Linked DNA regions of Drosophila melanogaster. The protein of the gene in region 2 interacts with the protein of the main gene of each other region in a pairwise test. Each region holds a gene or a part of one and is shown on either strand. Other genes may lie near its edges.

Region 1 (6,458 bases), on a different chromosome or scaffold from region 2:
CGGCTGTTCGAGCTCTTTATGCTAAAGCGGTTATAAACGTTGTTTTAGTTTTAATACTAGCACACTCCCTACAACGAAGTTGCTTTTGTGGCCAGTCTGACACATACAAATTTTGCTTAATATATACTTGTGTTATAGATTCGTGAAAAATAGATTTTGAAATATATTTAAATTAAACCTACGAATATATAGCGTTTTTTTGGAGGAGTCTATACTTTTACTTATATAGTTCTCTTCTTTTCTATACTGAATAAAAATAAACAGACCATTGACCCGAAGTTCAGATCTTAGTTCTTGATCAGATCCAACCGGAATCACATGAAGGAAACGAAGGAAAAGGCCACCCACCAGATTTAAAATGCCCACAGGCCAAATTAAAAACTGGAACTGGAACCATTGTGGACTGGTAAATGCCAAACTCGATTGCAGATTATACAATGCTGGCCCAAAAGGCAAAAAAAAACAGGTGTTGGATTTTCTTTTTATTTACAGCAGCTACGGATGGTTTTGTGGCATGCCGCTAACTTGGGCAACTTGTCAGGCGAATTAGATTTACTTTGTGGCACTGCTCATTAGATCACCGATGTCCATGTGGGGATGCAATCCACTGAACTGGGGTTTGGTATAAAAGAGGCCTGCTGGGATCAACTGCAGCAACACAATTGGTTAAGCCGCCACAGAAGCAGCCGGAAAATTACCTACAGCAAGATGAAAGGAGTAAGTGGTACCAGGATATAAAAGGATAATACAATTATTAATAAAAAATACTTTAGAAAATATAAGCAATTTTTTTTACTTAAATCATATAAATAACATTTGTCTTTTCTTCATTGAAAGCTGCTACTCATTACAATCGCCTGCTTGACGACCTCCATCCTGGCAGCTCCTGCTCCTGAACCCGCTCCAGAACCATCTCCGTCTCCAGCTCCTGCTCCATCTCCATCACCCAGCATTGGAATCGGAATTGGTCATGGCTACGGTGGATATGGCCTGGGATTGGGTCTAGGAATCGGGCACTACGGAGGACTCTACGGGCACGGCTATGGCGGGCACTATGGAGGTCTTGGTCTGGGATTGGGCTACCATGCACCCATCATCTCCAAGACGATCATCGGCAAAAGCTACTTGGGCGGCTATGGCTATGGCCTCGGTCACGGATATCTCGGAGGCTACGGCCATGGACTGTACGGAGGACACGGTCTGGGTCTGGGTCTGGGTCTGGGATACGGACTGGGATATGGCTATGGCCACGGTTGGTAGAGGTACTCCCAAGTCAAGTAAAGTTAAGCCAAATGGAGCCGGGACGAGCGTGTGAGAGTTTTCAATCAAGTCATATACTTCGCAGTACCCAAATCTTATTCAGTCAGTCACTCAGCAAGTCAATAAATCAATAAAGACAAAGCAAAAAATGTACAAAAAACTAGAATCATGGTCAACCGTTTATTAAAACTGGATCTTTTTTTCTCACGGTTCTTTGAGACATATTTATAATTGTCTTAATTGCCTATACTAAACATATATTTTGATACTTAATGTAAGTAAAGCACACTTTTGATGTTCTGAACAAAATATATAACATTCGTTTACGATTTCAAAACTTTGGCTATAAGGAACATCCAAATACTGAAATCTGAAAATAAATATCTGAAAAACAAAATGAAACTGAATATTTGAAAATTGTCAGCACGTTTTTCATATTGCCTCAAACGCTTGATCAAATAAAACAGTTTTAAGTTTAGTTTTTAAATTCAATCGAAATATATTTCAACATCAAACCCACTCTTCACAATCTGTTTTTTAACAATTTGATTTCACTTTACAAAACCTTCACTGATTTCTCTCTCTCTCTTTTTTCTCTGTGTATTTACATCTCATTTCTGACCGATCCAAACAAAACGAAATGCATGCGGAAAACGATGATGGGTGGTATGGACCTCGTTTACCATCCATGAGCGAGTCCATAGGCAGGAGCAGCAAGAGCTGTCTTGTAGCCCAGTCCCAGAGGAGCACCCAGAGTAGGATATGCCGACTTGTAGCCCAATCCCAAGGGAGCGGCCAGAGGGGCGTGAGCTAGTCCCAAAGGACCATGAGCCAGGCCAATGGGACCGGGACCATATCCCAATCCGTAGGCGGAAAGGGCCGGAGCAGCCAGAGGAGCGTGCGCCAAGGCCGGGGCGGCATAGCTAAGCCTGGGGGCCAGCCCGTAAGAGGCAATCGAGGGAGCAGCCAAGGCGTGTCCATAGGAGATGGCCGGAGCAGCTGCAGTCAGCGGCAAGGCCGGAGCAGCTAATCCGCCCAAATAGCCAGGAGCAGCAGCAGCGCTGGCCAGGCAGAAAACGGCGAAAACGAACTAGTTGATGGGGGAAAAAAAAATGAGATACTAACAAAGGACTTTTCAGAGTATATCAATTCCACTTACGTATTTGAACATTTTGGTTTTGGTTGCAAGTTGAACTCGTGGCAAGAACACAAAGCTGAATAATGCCGCTGTCTAAGGCACAAATGCTTTTATAGCCCACAGACCTGGCCAAAATGCAGCACGAGAACGGATCCAAACTGGCGGCCCAGAGACTTTTACTTTTGTTCAAACGAGAGACATAGGCATATTCGTAGCCCAAAACCGAGTCCAAGAGAGCCACATGCAAAGCTGGCCTGTCGAGTATCGAGATGGCGATGGAGACCTGGGACCCACCGGAGCACCACCTGGCCCCGCCCCAGACAACGCGGATGTGGGCCTGGGCTGCGATTTGGCCATACCCTTTCGGTGGTAAACTAAATGAGAGATTGTTTTTATCTAATGAATAATAAGGATTTTAATACGTAATTAGGAAAGTCATCAAATGAAATATTACATAAATTATTCATTAAATTTTTGATTCTTCTACAAGGATAGTAGTTATTCTGTGAGTTATTCGGTTCACAATAATGAAATATTTATATTTACCTATTTACACTATTAGAACTTATTTTGTCTTAATATTTTTAATATATTTATGGAAATTTCAATCTAAATATATATTATCTATTATAAGTATTATGCTGTTTATATTGAATATTCATAATTGTCTCCAGTCAAAGGGTATTTCCCCAATCGATCAACGTTTCGACCATTTTTGTTTTTATTTTGAATAATTTCTGATAAATTTGTTTTTGGTCTATTTACCTAATGCCGAAGCCGCGACAAGGTGTGCGTGAGAAAAACTTAAATTGCATTTTGTATCTTGCCTTTTTGGGTTCTTGTATGCATTTATTTCCATGCAGGCAACAAGTTTCGCCCATTCCGCCGTTTAAATTCATTCAAATGCGTGAGGCTATTTTGCTGTAGAAATTTTCGCAGTAAATGCTCGAGCATTCGCGGAGCCAAAGTCTTAATAATTACAACACAGGCCGGCAATGAAAGGGGCGTGGCAGATACACACCTGTGCGTAAAACCGAAGCAAAAACCAGATCCAGATCCGCCTCGAGATCGTTCTATGTGGGGCAAATGCAGTGTGTGCCAAGAACAATAAACGATCGTAGACAGGGGCGTGGGCAAGGTCGTTCTTCTAGTGCAACGGGAGGGAATCCTGGGCCAAACGACGCCACTGGCGGTGCCAACTTATGAACCAGTGCACCCATAACTCATGCAACTGCAACAACAATGCCGAAGGAACTGCGGCTGCCACTTAATTGCCGGCGACCCACTCGAAGCACATTTTCCAGACAGCGCTTTACGCAAGCTCCAAACACTTAACACTTATGAAAGGGGCGTGGCCGAAAAGGGGGGCTGATGGGAGGGGGGTCGGATTGGAGACCCAATCCAGCACTTGTTGAAATCACCGCCCTGCAGGCAGCAAAAGTGCATGCGTGCACTTAACACCTTCTGCGCAAGTTAGTTTTACTCAATGTGATATGTTTTGTTAAATATTATATTAGTTAAACACTTTTCTTGCCTGCTAATTTGTTTAAGTTTATTAAAACACAAAGGCTATAATTATAAATTATTTTAATAGAATTAAAAACAAGCGACGAAACAATCAGATGTTAAAATTAATAATTATGGTACATTTTAATGAATAAATGGTTGGTGTAAAGGGGCTGGAAACTCCGAACTTTCGAAGCTTCTGATTTTGATTCCAAGAATCCCAGCACTTCAATACTTAAAGGTTCAACATGCTGCGTTGGTGCACAAAACAAATGGGGTCCAATTCACACCCACTGACAACAAAAGGGTTAAGGATAAGGCCTAGCTCAGTCCAGAAAAGCCCGCGGGCAAATGGAAAGGCAAAAAGCAGTTGACAATACAAGGTGGCCAAGGAGGGGGGAAATGGGGGAGCAGGTCAACAGCCGGGCTTCCAATGCGTAACTCCAAGGGGATTTGCATACACATACGTATACGCCGTGTGGGCGATTCCAATAGCGATGTTAGTCCAGTCCAGCCGAAGTTCTCCACCCGATTTGCACTTTTGGGCTGTAAATCAAACTAGCCAAGCATTTCAATTAAGTGCCTCCTGAGATCCGGCTCAATGCGTCGTTGCAGCCGCGCTGCTATCTACACGGTGCGAAAAATTGCTGGCAATTAATTTTGTGGCACTTGTGCAACACGGCGATTAAATCAAAACGCAATTTATTGGGCAGCACGGCTGAAATGCGAGCGCCTTTAAATCGGGTTTGGCTTCTTATTGATGTCTCCGCAAATTGATCGCAGCAAGTTCTAATCGACGCAGCCCCCCCATTATCGTTCCAATGCTCTCGAATGACAGTGTACAACTGTCAATTAGACAAGATTGTTGTAATCGCCTAAGCAGTCACCGAACAGCGGGGGGTAATTATAGCACATGGGCCTAGAAGTCCCCTTGTTGGCCAAGTTAATACGCGTACTGCTAATTGGAGGTAGGTTGGATATCATATTCAATTTGAAAAGAGCGTCCAGTATTAGCTAGATTACATAGAGATACGATACAGCTATACATTAAGAACTGAGTTGCATCCAAAAACCATATATATTTATACTTACTTATAAAGTTAGAAAACAAATATTTTGATATCCTCAATTCAGACACGGTATAGACTTACCTTAACTGAATACTACGACAAGAGAGCATTTGAAACTAATTTTATAAACACACTTACCTAAAGTACAACATTTAAGCATTAAATTAGACTATTTGACAATATTTAACTTATGTTAATTTAAGCTTACACACCCCACCCCCAAACTCTTTCATAGAGTACCCACTCCAGTAAAGCCTGGGAAACGGAACGTTTAAGTGCAACTTCTGGGGCTTCGGCAATTATAAATCGCCGCATGTTTCGCGAGGGGGCAGCTGATTAATGGGGCGTGACCATCGAGACAAAAGGCAGCGTTAAATTTTAATTTAATTTTCCGACTACAGCCACAAAACAAGTAAATTAGCTGCAAGAAGTGCAACTGCACGTGCAGAATGAGGCGTTTTTCAGCTTTTACAGGGCTATAAAAAGCGTTGAAAGCATCGAGGAGAATTGAGAATCAGCAACTCAAAGACTTGAATTAATTTGCAAAATGTTGTTTCTTAGTTAAATGTCGTTCGCTTGATTTGATTTTCATACTTTTCGACGGTTGCACGCGGCGTATGATTAATGCCAGAGTTGGCGTGGTGGGTTCGTTTGAGGCGTGGCTTCGTTCAACTTATCGATGGCGGGTGATTAGCAAAATGCAATTTAAGCGGCGCCCCTCAATGTAGTACCATATTCGCAGTGGCGATGGAAATGCATTGACCTCTAAGCCAACACACACGCAACTTGCAATCAAAGTGATAAACAATGTGCCGCGAGCTGGCCACATAGACCTCGAAGGGTCAGGGGGGTATCAGGGCTAAGGGGGTGCGAACTGCGTAAACAAAGCTCAAGGATTGCGTCCTGGAACGTGGCGAAGTGTCGATGAACCAAAGTGGGCGCACAAACAGGCCAGAGTTGGGCACACCCTTGGAGGGCACTCTGTCATATGGGAGCTGTCTAATGAAAATGGTGGCCTGATTTAACCTTAAACGAATTCATTCTTCTCATCATATAATAGTTTAAAGTGCTCTGGTGACCATTGCAAATGTTAAAAATTAAAGCTTGCAGCACTCGTTAATAATTCAAATGAAATCCCTTATCTTGAACTTATAATTCTATGTAATACCACAAACTAAAGCTATATATATATACTTCCCATCCAGGTATCTATTGCAATAAGACGGCGCTTCCCAAGAGCAACCTGCACTATCTGTTTCCTTTGAAGAAAAGTCCCGATGCCCACGGCAAGATTAAAATTAAACGGAAGGAATAAAACTCGATTCACTTCTCAGTCGGTCAGTGCGTGGGCCTGATGCATTGCGTTTTAATTTCTGTTTGCCTGCGAGCATGTATCTCCATCTCTGTTTGTATCTGTATCTTTCGCCGTGGCAGTGACGACGTCCGGTGGACACGTGCGGCAGCCTTGCGGAATCCCTTTGCCA
Region 2 (7,905 bases):
GCAAAAACAATACGATAAGCAGCAACAAGTGTTCCAGAGATTCCCTTGAAACATACACAGAATCTAAAACTCCATTGAAATTGGTTCTCAGTTGTTTTGTTTACCCAGCAATCAGTGCCCAAGAACGTGGCACATTTCCAACTGTGGGCGGGTAAACAATTGCTGCGCAACAATTAAGAAAACTTGTTCGCCCTGTCTGTGTACACGCGAATAAATCTCGGGAGTACAATTCCATACCAGCCGGTGACGGGCACGGAAAAGCAGCTCTAACTGTGCAAGATGATTCCAGGCTATGGACCCGTCACGCAGGCTCTGCTGGGCACCCTGCTTACCTGGGGACTGACCGCCGCTGGCGCCGCCCTAGTGATCTTCGTCCGGGGTAACCAGCGGAGGTCTCTGGACGCCGCCCTGGGATTCGCAGCTGGCGTAATGATAGCAGCCTCCTTTTGGTCACTCCTCAAGCCGGCCATCGAAATGGCCGAGAGTTCCCATTTGTACGGAGTATACGCCTTTCTGCCCGTCGCTGGAGGCTTCCTCTTGGGATCGATCTTCGTCTACGGATGCGACAAATTGATGTCATACCTGGGCCTTAACAGCACCAACATGATGATCCAGATGACGCAATCAAAAGCCAAGGCGGACATAGCCATCGAGGACTCTAAGCGCAATGGAGTTGCCCCCGATAGGTTGGCCTCAAAGAGTCTGGACAGCTTCTCCGACTGCCTTAGCGTGCAGCACAGCGGCGAATCGAGACGCCGAAAGAAGGGAGCTAGCATCAACGAGATGGAGCAGTGCACCTACACCACGCCTGAGGAGCAGCAGCGCGCCGAGGACGCCCTGTCCCAGTGGAAGAGGATTATGCTTTTGGTCGTGGCCATCACGGTCCACAACATTCCAGAAGGGCTGGCTGTGGGCGTAAGCTTTGGTGCCATTGGCTCCACGAACTCATCGACATTTGAGAGCGCCCGCAATTTGGCCATTGGCATTGGCATTCAAAACTTCCCCGAGGGATTGGCTGTCAGCTTGCCACTGCATGCCGCAGGATTCAGCGTGAAGCGGGCTCTGTGGTACGGACAGCTGTCCGGAATGGTGGAGCCCATTTTTGGAGTTCTGGGCGCCGTGGCGGTGACCTTTGCCAACCTGATCCTGCCATACGCCTTGTCTTTTGCGGCCGGAGCCATGATATACATTGTGTCGGACGACATTCTGCCGGAGGCTCATGCCAGCGGAAATGGAACGATCGCCACGTGGGGCACTGTATCCGGCTTCCTGATCATGATGTGTCTGGAGGTGGCGCTGTCGTGAGGAACGAACGGCTCGCCTTCGCCCGCCTCGCAGATTTCATAATCTAGTGCTAAACTCAAAGATTCCACTGTACTTAACGCAAAACTCTGCTGTCTTGTAAATAGAAGCATGCTGTGTACAAATCTCAGAACCAGCCCTAAACGAGAATCTAATAATCTAGCGTAGAGTGTAAGTTTTGTAGAAAGAAGCTTGACAACCAGCGATGCCGCGACGACATCCGTGCAATTGTGTATCTGTGCACACGTATCTGTACAGCATTCCCAGCGAGTTATGTAAATGAACTGTTCTAGGAAAATTTGTAAACAAACGTGCATGTGAATTAGGTTTTAAGTTGTCACCGGCGTCCAGTAGCTTGTGTCTTTTTTAACCGTCTAATGTCTAAGTAATAAACTAAACGAATTCAAATGAACATCTCTCAGTTGCACCCACTCGCTTTTTTCCCTCACAAATGTAGCTGTCTCCGTCCGGACAACTTCCTGACCGTTTCTTTGGCCGTACGATAGCTGATAAGGGCAAGTAAATTCACTTAGATAACCCGGAGTGCCAACAACAACAACAGCTGGTTGACTCGCTGTCAGCCAGTGATAAGTGATAAGAATCTGTCCGACACGAAGAGTTCCCAATATTGCGCGTATTCCGTGTTTGAGATACGTGCAGTTTCAGACGGCCCGCGGTCCTGCGTTTCTGTTCGCCATTTTCTGGATTAACTAATCATTTCAGATATGTATGTTTGTACTCGCACAAGTGCTTTGGGCCACAGTCCACCCACTGTGATCGTGGTCATCAGGAAAAGTGGTCGATAAGACCTCTTGCCGGCTATCTGTTGTACAATTTCCATATAGTTCTTTATGTGCGCCATAAAACCATAAACTCGGTATGAATGGCCTATTAGTTGGGGGCATATCTCAAGTGGAGTTAATGCTTCTGTGTCCGCAATGCCATAAATTGATAGTGTCAACGATTAGACTAATTAAAGACCTATTTCTTTTGTAATCGAAGTGTAAGTTAAAGCTGCCATTTCCAACCAAAATGTAATGCAGAGTTGATGAACTCGAAAGTACATTGTCGTCTTAGATCTGATAAAGCTTTTGGGAAGTTGTTAGGCCTAACAAATAATGATATGATAAGAATATTAAAAGTTGTATGAAGACCTTGATAAGTCAACTTTTAATATCTACGTACATACAAGCCTATTTTTGCAATGTGTTATTGGGTATTTTGCAGTGAGCTTAGTATTATGAGAAGGCAAGCTAAATTATAAAGCCGAATGGTGACAATTAAAAGTTATCTTCTTAAGCCCCATTTATCCCCATTTGAATATATAAATAAGATCGATGATGCAACAGAAGCCACAATTAGTAATAACTTACCGGCATTTTGCCAAAGAGCTCGGGATACTCGTACATGCGTATATTGCTGATTGGAAATTGCTTGGGATCGCATATTTTCAGCTGCACCTTGCAAGCTTCAATCCACAGAATGGAAACGACTGGTATATTCCACTCGGTGGCCTTTTTATAGGTGGAGAGCAGGCCATCCTTGAAGACAACGTGTGTGGTGGTTCTACAAGCCAAACGAAAAATGTTTAATTGAATATATTTTAGTCAATCAATTGTAATCCCTTAGCTTACCGCGTTAGGCGATCTTTGACCTGGGCTCCCATCTTGGCAATAATTGATTTTACGCCCTCAGAGCGATTGTCGTTTCCAGTTCGCACCTCCACATATACGACTATGTCCTTGAGCAACTCGGGGAGGGAGGGCGGCTCCTGGGGATTGCGTTCTTCCATCGTGATGATGCTTTGTTCGGCTAAAGGCACATCGAAGGTATTGTATGCCGACTTGGTGGGGCTTCTAAAAATGTATACAATGTAAAAGCGAATGCATTTTTTTTATTATGATCAGTTTCTTCTCAAATCAGATTAGATTGCATTGCAAAACAATAATTAATAATAATAATAATCAATACTTGGTTTTGGCAAAAAAACCTGGCTTGTTAATATAATAGTTATTGATGGATATGGAATTATTAGGGATTGCATCTAAAGAATCTAACTTTACAAAATTAGCGATAAAATGGCTATAAAAGGATGGATTAGTCAAGAATCTGAGCTGTTTTCACTAGTTGACCTTTAGGTTGTATAAATAACAATTGCAATAACCAATTTTTGTCCTTACTTTAATGCACGAATGGCGCGTAATCGGAGTGCAGCGTTGGGGCTGTTGAGATCTTGCTGCAGTCGGGCCCAGTGTCCTTCCTGCCTGGTTGGCGTGGCTGCTCCGATGGGTGGATCTGGTTTTGCTGCAGATCCTTCTGCTCCCGCCTCGTTCTCGTCCTGGTGGAACTCGGAGCGGTGCTGGCTGATCGCTTTGGAGACGGCTAATGCCGGCTTGAGCATCAGCCGATCCCTGGCCGCCTGGTCATCTAGCAGGAGGGAACGCAACTTGTTAGTAATGCTCGGTTCGTTTGTCGACATGGTAATCTGTTTTTTTTTTTTTTTTTTGAATACTACGAATTTTGGGTGAGCTACGTATCCGGAACTAAAACTACTGGGTTGGGTGTTCAAAATGTAAAATAGGCATGCACAGCCAACCTGCCGGGGCCTGGGATAGAGATTTGGGAGACGGTGCCGCTGCTTTGGACCTGAAGTCGCCCAGATTTGAATCGTGCAACGGTCGGCGGGTCGATGACGCCGCTGTTTTCTTGGCAGCTGCGGCGGAACTGGCCACGACCGATCCGTACGTCTTCGTCTTCCACGTGGGATTGCGCAACAGAAACTTGTCCATGGTCACGGGCTATGTTCTCCGCACTCTGGCGCTCCTTATTGCAATGAAGTCGGTCGCAAAACTCTGCAAAAGAGGCGCCAATAATTTTCTAATCCAAACCTCACAAAAAGTGCAACACAATGTGATAGTGTGACCGGGTAACCTCAATGCTACAAGATCACTCACTGGCAATCGGTTATCGTTCTCACCGAAAATCGATTGTTTTTATATGGTCTCCGTTTAGTACATTAAGATTTTAGTTCGATGACGAATTTGGCGGCATTTTATTATGTATTTAATTTAGGAGACAAAAAATCTTGTGATAGCGCAGGTTTACTTTTCACCACCAATGTTTATCTTAGAAAGAGGCAAAGCAGTTTAATAAATTTTAAGTTCCGATATTTAAACACAATTAGTAAATGCAAAAATGTCGGAAAATATATATAGATATAGATATGTTTAAATGTTCTCGTAAATGAAAATCAAACTACACACAATTATACAAAATACCTTTATTATTCAGTTTCAGCAGCGTAGATTGTAACCCGTTTAAAGTAAAACACTTATATTGACTTTCATAACTCTTTTTTAATGCGTACTAATATCGATTACATGTTTTTAATTTGATCTTATTTACATATGAAGTGTATGTACAGAAAAATAATAAGAAAATAATAAATTGAACTTGCCTAAAGTAGCAATTAATTTGCATATGACATTATCTGCCCCCATCCTGAATCTCAGCCAAACTCTCCGTGCGCTTATCGTGGGCTCTAGGACATTCTCTCAGTCTTAAACGATTTAAGAAACTATGGCAAAATTTTAATTACTCATTACAAATTGCATAATCATTAAATCTCTCTGCTTGACTTAAAGTTAACTGCGGTTAATTAGAGTTAGTGCGTATTAAGTGACGTACGCTAAATGGCTGCATTTCGCTGCATTTATCACAAAACTGAGCGAAATGCACTCCACAGTGATCCAGTGAATCGATGATCCTTCACTGACCAAACTTAATCGTAGGCTTTGACTAAATAATTTTAGAATTAACGCTAGACGATGAATAAATTAGGGCCAGCCAAAGTGATCATTCTGAAATGGCGAAATGTTCTGATTAACTGAGATACACTTAACAAATTAAGTGGTCACTTACCATGTGCGCTGATCAGACTACGTGCATCCCAGAGGGACATTTGCGACTGGGAGAGACGGTGCTGCGGTGGATACAGTTTGTAGGGGAAGTACGAGTGGTGGAATGTGGCAATGGGAATGGGTTGCGCCGGCTGCAGGAACTGCTGTTGCTGGTGCTGTGCCGAGATCTTCCGCGAGATCTTTGGCTCCTTCTTGGGCTTGCTGGCTCCTCCAGGGCACGGCTGCTTCGAGGACTTGATGAAGTTGGGAATACGCGCCAAGAGTCCGCAGTAGTACGGATCATCCTGCTTCTTCCGCTGCTGCGACCCGCTGCTCTTCTGTCGCTTCTTGTCCGCATATATGGGCGTCAAAGATCCGCCAGATTCGTAGTCGGGCTGCAAAGTGTAAAAAGCAAATAAGAATTATTAGGCTAAGTTTTTTTTCCCAAACAGGTTAAAAGGTTTGAAGTCCCAAATTTTTCAGGTAGAATGTAATCTAGGTTAGAACCCACCTTGGGCACATATGGACCCTCGTTGAGGAAGGCGGCACTAAAGATGCTGCGCCGTCCCTTGCTGGAGTTGCTCGAGTGCTGGGAGTTCTGGGAATCATCCGACGCGGCGGGCGTAGGATAGATCAATCCCACTTGGCTTTCGATGGTGGAGTATGGATCCTCGCTGCTGTTCGTCAGCGGCACTCGCATGCCCATCGCATCCAGTGACTTGGGAATCGTTTGGAGGCGGCTCCTCAGCATGTCCATGGCCACCACGTTGACCACGAGTATCCAGACCGGAGAGTTGATAAGATTGTTGTTCGACTTGACAAGCGATACGGCGGACAGGCACTGCCGTTCCAGTCTTCCGCGCTCCGGATAAGTGCGGGCAAACTCGCGGTTTATGTTCGTCTGGAACTTCTTCATATCAAAGAGTCGAGCGGAGGTGGCCGCGGTGAGGGACATCTGCGGCATTTGGATTATGTCGCCACCGATCACCGTCTCCTCGTTGCCCTGCGATGTGCTGTTCACGTAGATGCTGCTCTTGCCATACCGCTTGATGAATATGTTGCCGGTGTCGTCCATTTTGATCTTGAATCCATCGCCGATGGACTTTTTGATCACCTTCGTCTCCGCATCGCGCATCGGATTATCGAAGCCATTCAGCCCAATACTGTGGATTTAGCCATATTAAATAAGTTGTTCTTAATAGTCAAATATTAAGTTCAAACTCACCGCACTCCATCGAATCCATTCTTAGATCCATTTATGGTTATCACAGAGGAGCGGGCGTAGGCCTTGGCCACTCGCCGATTTTTCTCGAAGACAATTATCTTGGCCCAGATCTCGTCGTCGATTTGCTCCCACTTGGACAGAACCTCGTTGATGTGATCCTGCGTGGTGTCAATAGGTATGGATAATGGATGAGCTAGAGATCAAATGAGTTATAATGGACAGGAAACGCACCCTGAAGAGCTTTTCGCGATCGTGCCAGACGTCTTCCTCCTGCTCTTCCTGCCCGATGGCATCCAAATTGTCTAGGGAGCGCGATATGATCTTGCGGCGAGAAATCATCTTGTCGGTCTGATCGCTTGATTCGTTTCCTCTGCAACGGTAGAACATTTTCCGAAATTATTATAAATAATTATGAGACAATTAACCTGCGGGTGCGAATGACTTTGATTGGATCTGGCTAGCAGTCGAAATTAAATCCCCGTCGAATGGGACACGCACTGAAAAGATTATTAGGCAATCAGTCCAATCAATCTGCAAGCCAATGAACTCTGCGCACGGATGGCAACAATGGGTGTTTTTGGGCTTGGATTTTTTTTGTTAGATAGCTCGCTCCTTGGGTCGATCCATCGAATCACCAATGTCACCGCCTCTAATTGAACGACGGCGATGCCTTGACAATTGTTTGGTGTTAAACACTTTGTCGAACACTACTCGCATTTTTGCATTTATATTGTTGTTGTTGTTGATATTGCTTTTTTTTTGGTTTGTTGTGTTCGGGTCAGGCCAACTGGCCTGGCATTTCAATTGGCCATTTGGGGTTTTCCTTCAAAGTCAGTGTGATTTGCTTATGCATCGCACTGCCGTCAGCGTTTTGTGACAAAATCCAGTAGTGGCACATACTGTCAGGTGGATTGGCGGTCAGCCACGTGATTGGCATTAATTGCGGGCCAAATGCGATTTACCAATAAATGAGTGTCACATATTCCCGCGGCCAGTGGCAATGAAAGTGAGTCTGTCTTGGTCTTGTGGAACATAGCTTCCCATTCCCAATCCAAAAATATGTGACATTTCTAAGCGTGATCGAATTAAGGGCACTACATGCCCTGCATTTTCCACGACAACCCAATCCCTTTCGTGCCCCAATTTAAATGTTTTTCAAATTACCCAGAACTGCAGTCTGTGCGCTTTAATAGCCAACGAGCGAGTTTCCCATCGAGCATTCACAAACATGGATTTCGATCCATTGAAGCCGCCGACTTGGGCTTTCTATTTGGGCAAGCGTTGGCGTTGGTTCTTTAATTAACGAACAGAATGGCCATAAAACCTGATAAGTGTCACGCACTTCGCTGTCTCCAAAAACTTTTTGCTCGAAGATCCGTTTTGGTTAGAAGAAATTTCAAATTATAACTGGTTTTCGTTTTGGCAAACGCTAAGATTAATGGCGAATAATATTTTGGTAGACACGCCCACGGCCCGACG

What was found. Proteins that work in one complex are often made in the same cells at the same time.
Region 1: the proteins of MCPH1 (region 2) and CG13065 interact in a two-hybrid assay, tested with the Drosophila melanogaster proteins (one large-scale study listed by BioGRID).

The regions. Positions count from the first base shown.
Region 1 is NT_037436.4:16,273,460-16,279,917, reverse strand, and holds CG13065 (uncharacterized protein), read right to left. Parts: upstream 2,484-6,458; 5' UTR 2,432-2,483; coding exon 2,420-2,431; intron 2,351-2,419; coding exon 1,940-2,350; 3' UTR 1,738-1,939; downstream 1-1,737. Other genes in the region: CG13050 (uncharacterized protein), read left to right, coding at 709-717, 838-1,260.
Region 2 is NT_033778.4:11,899,683-11,907,587, forward strand, and holds the start of MCPH1 (microcephalin), read right to left. Parts: upstream 4,237-7,905; 5' UTR 4,092-4,236; coding exon 3,899-4,091; intron 3,857-3,898; exon of another isoform or gene 3,782-3,856; coding exon of another isoform or gene 3,730-3,781; coding exon 3,483-3,729; intron 3,159-3,482; coding exon 2,937-3,158; intron 2,869-2,936; coding exon 2,676-2,868; intron 1,713-2,675; exon of another isoform or gene 1,306-1,712; coding exon of another isoform or gene 280-1,305; exon of another isoform or gene 1-279. Other genes in the region: Zip48C (Zinc/iron regulated transporter-related protein 48C), read left to right, coding at 280-1,305; reb (rebuf), read right to left, coding at 5,158-5,162, 5,224-5,596, 5,713-6,364, 6,427-6,584, 6,658-6,765.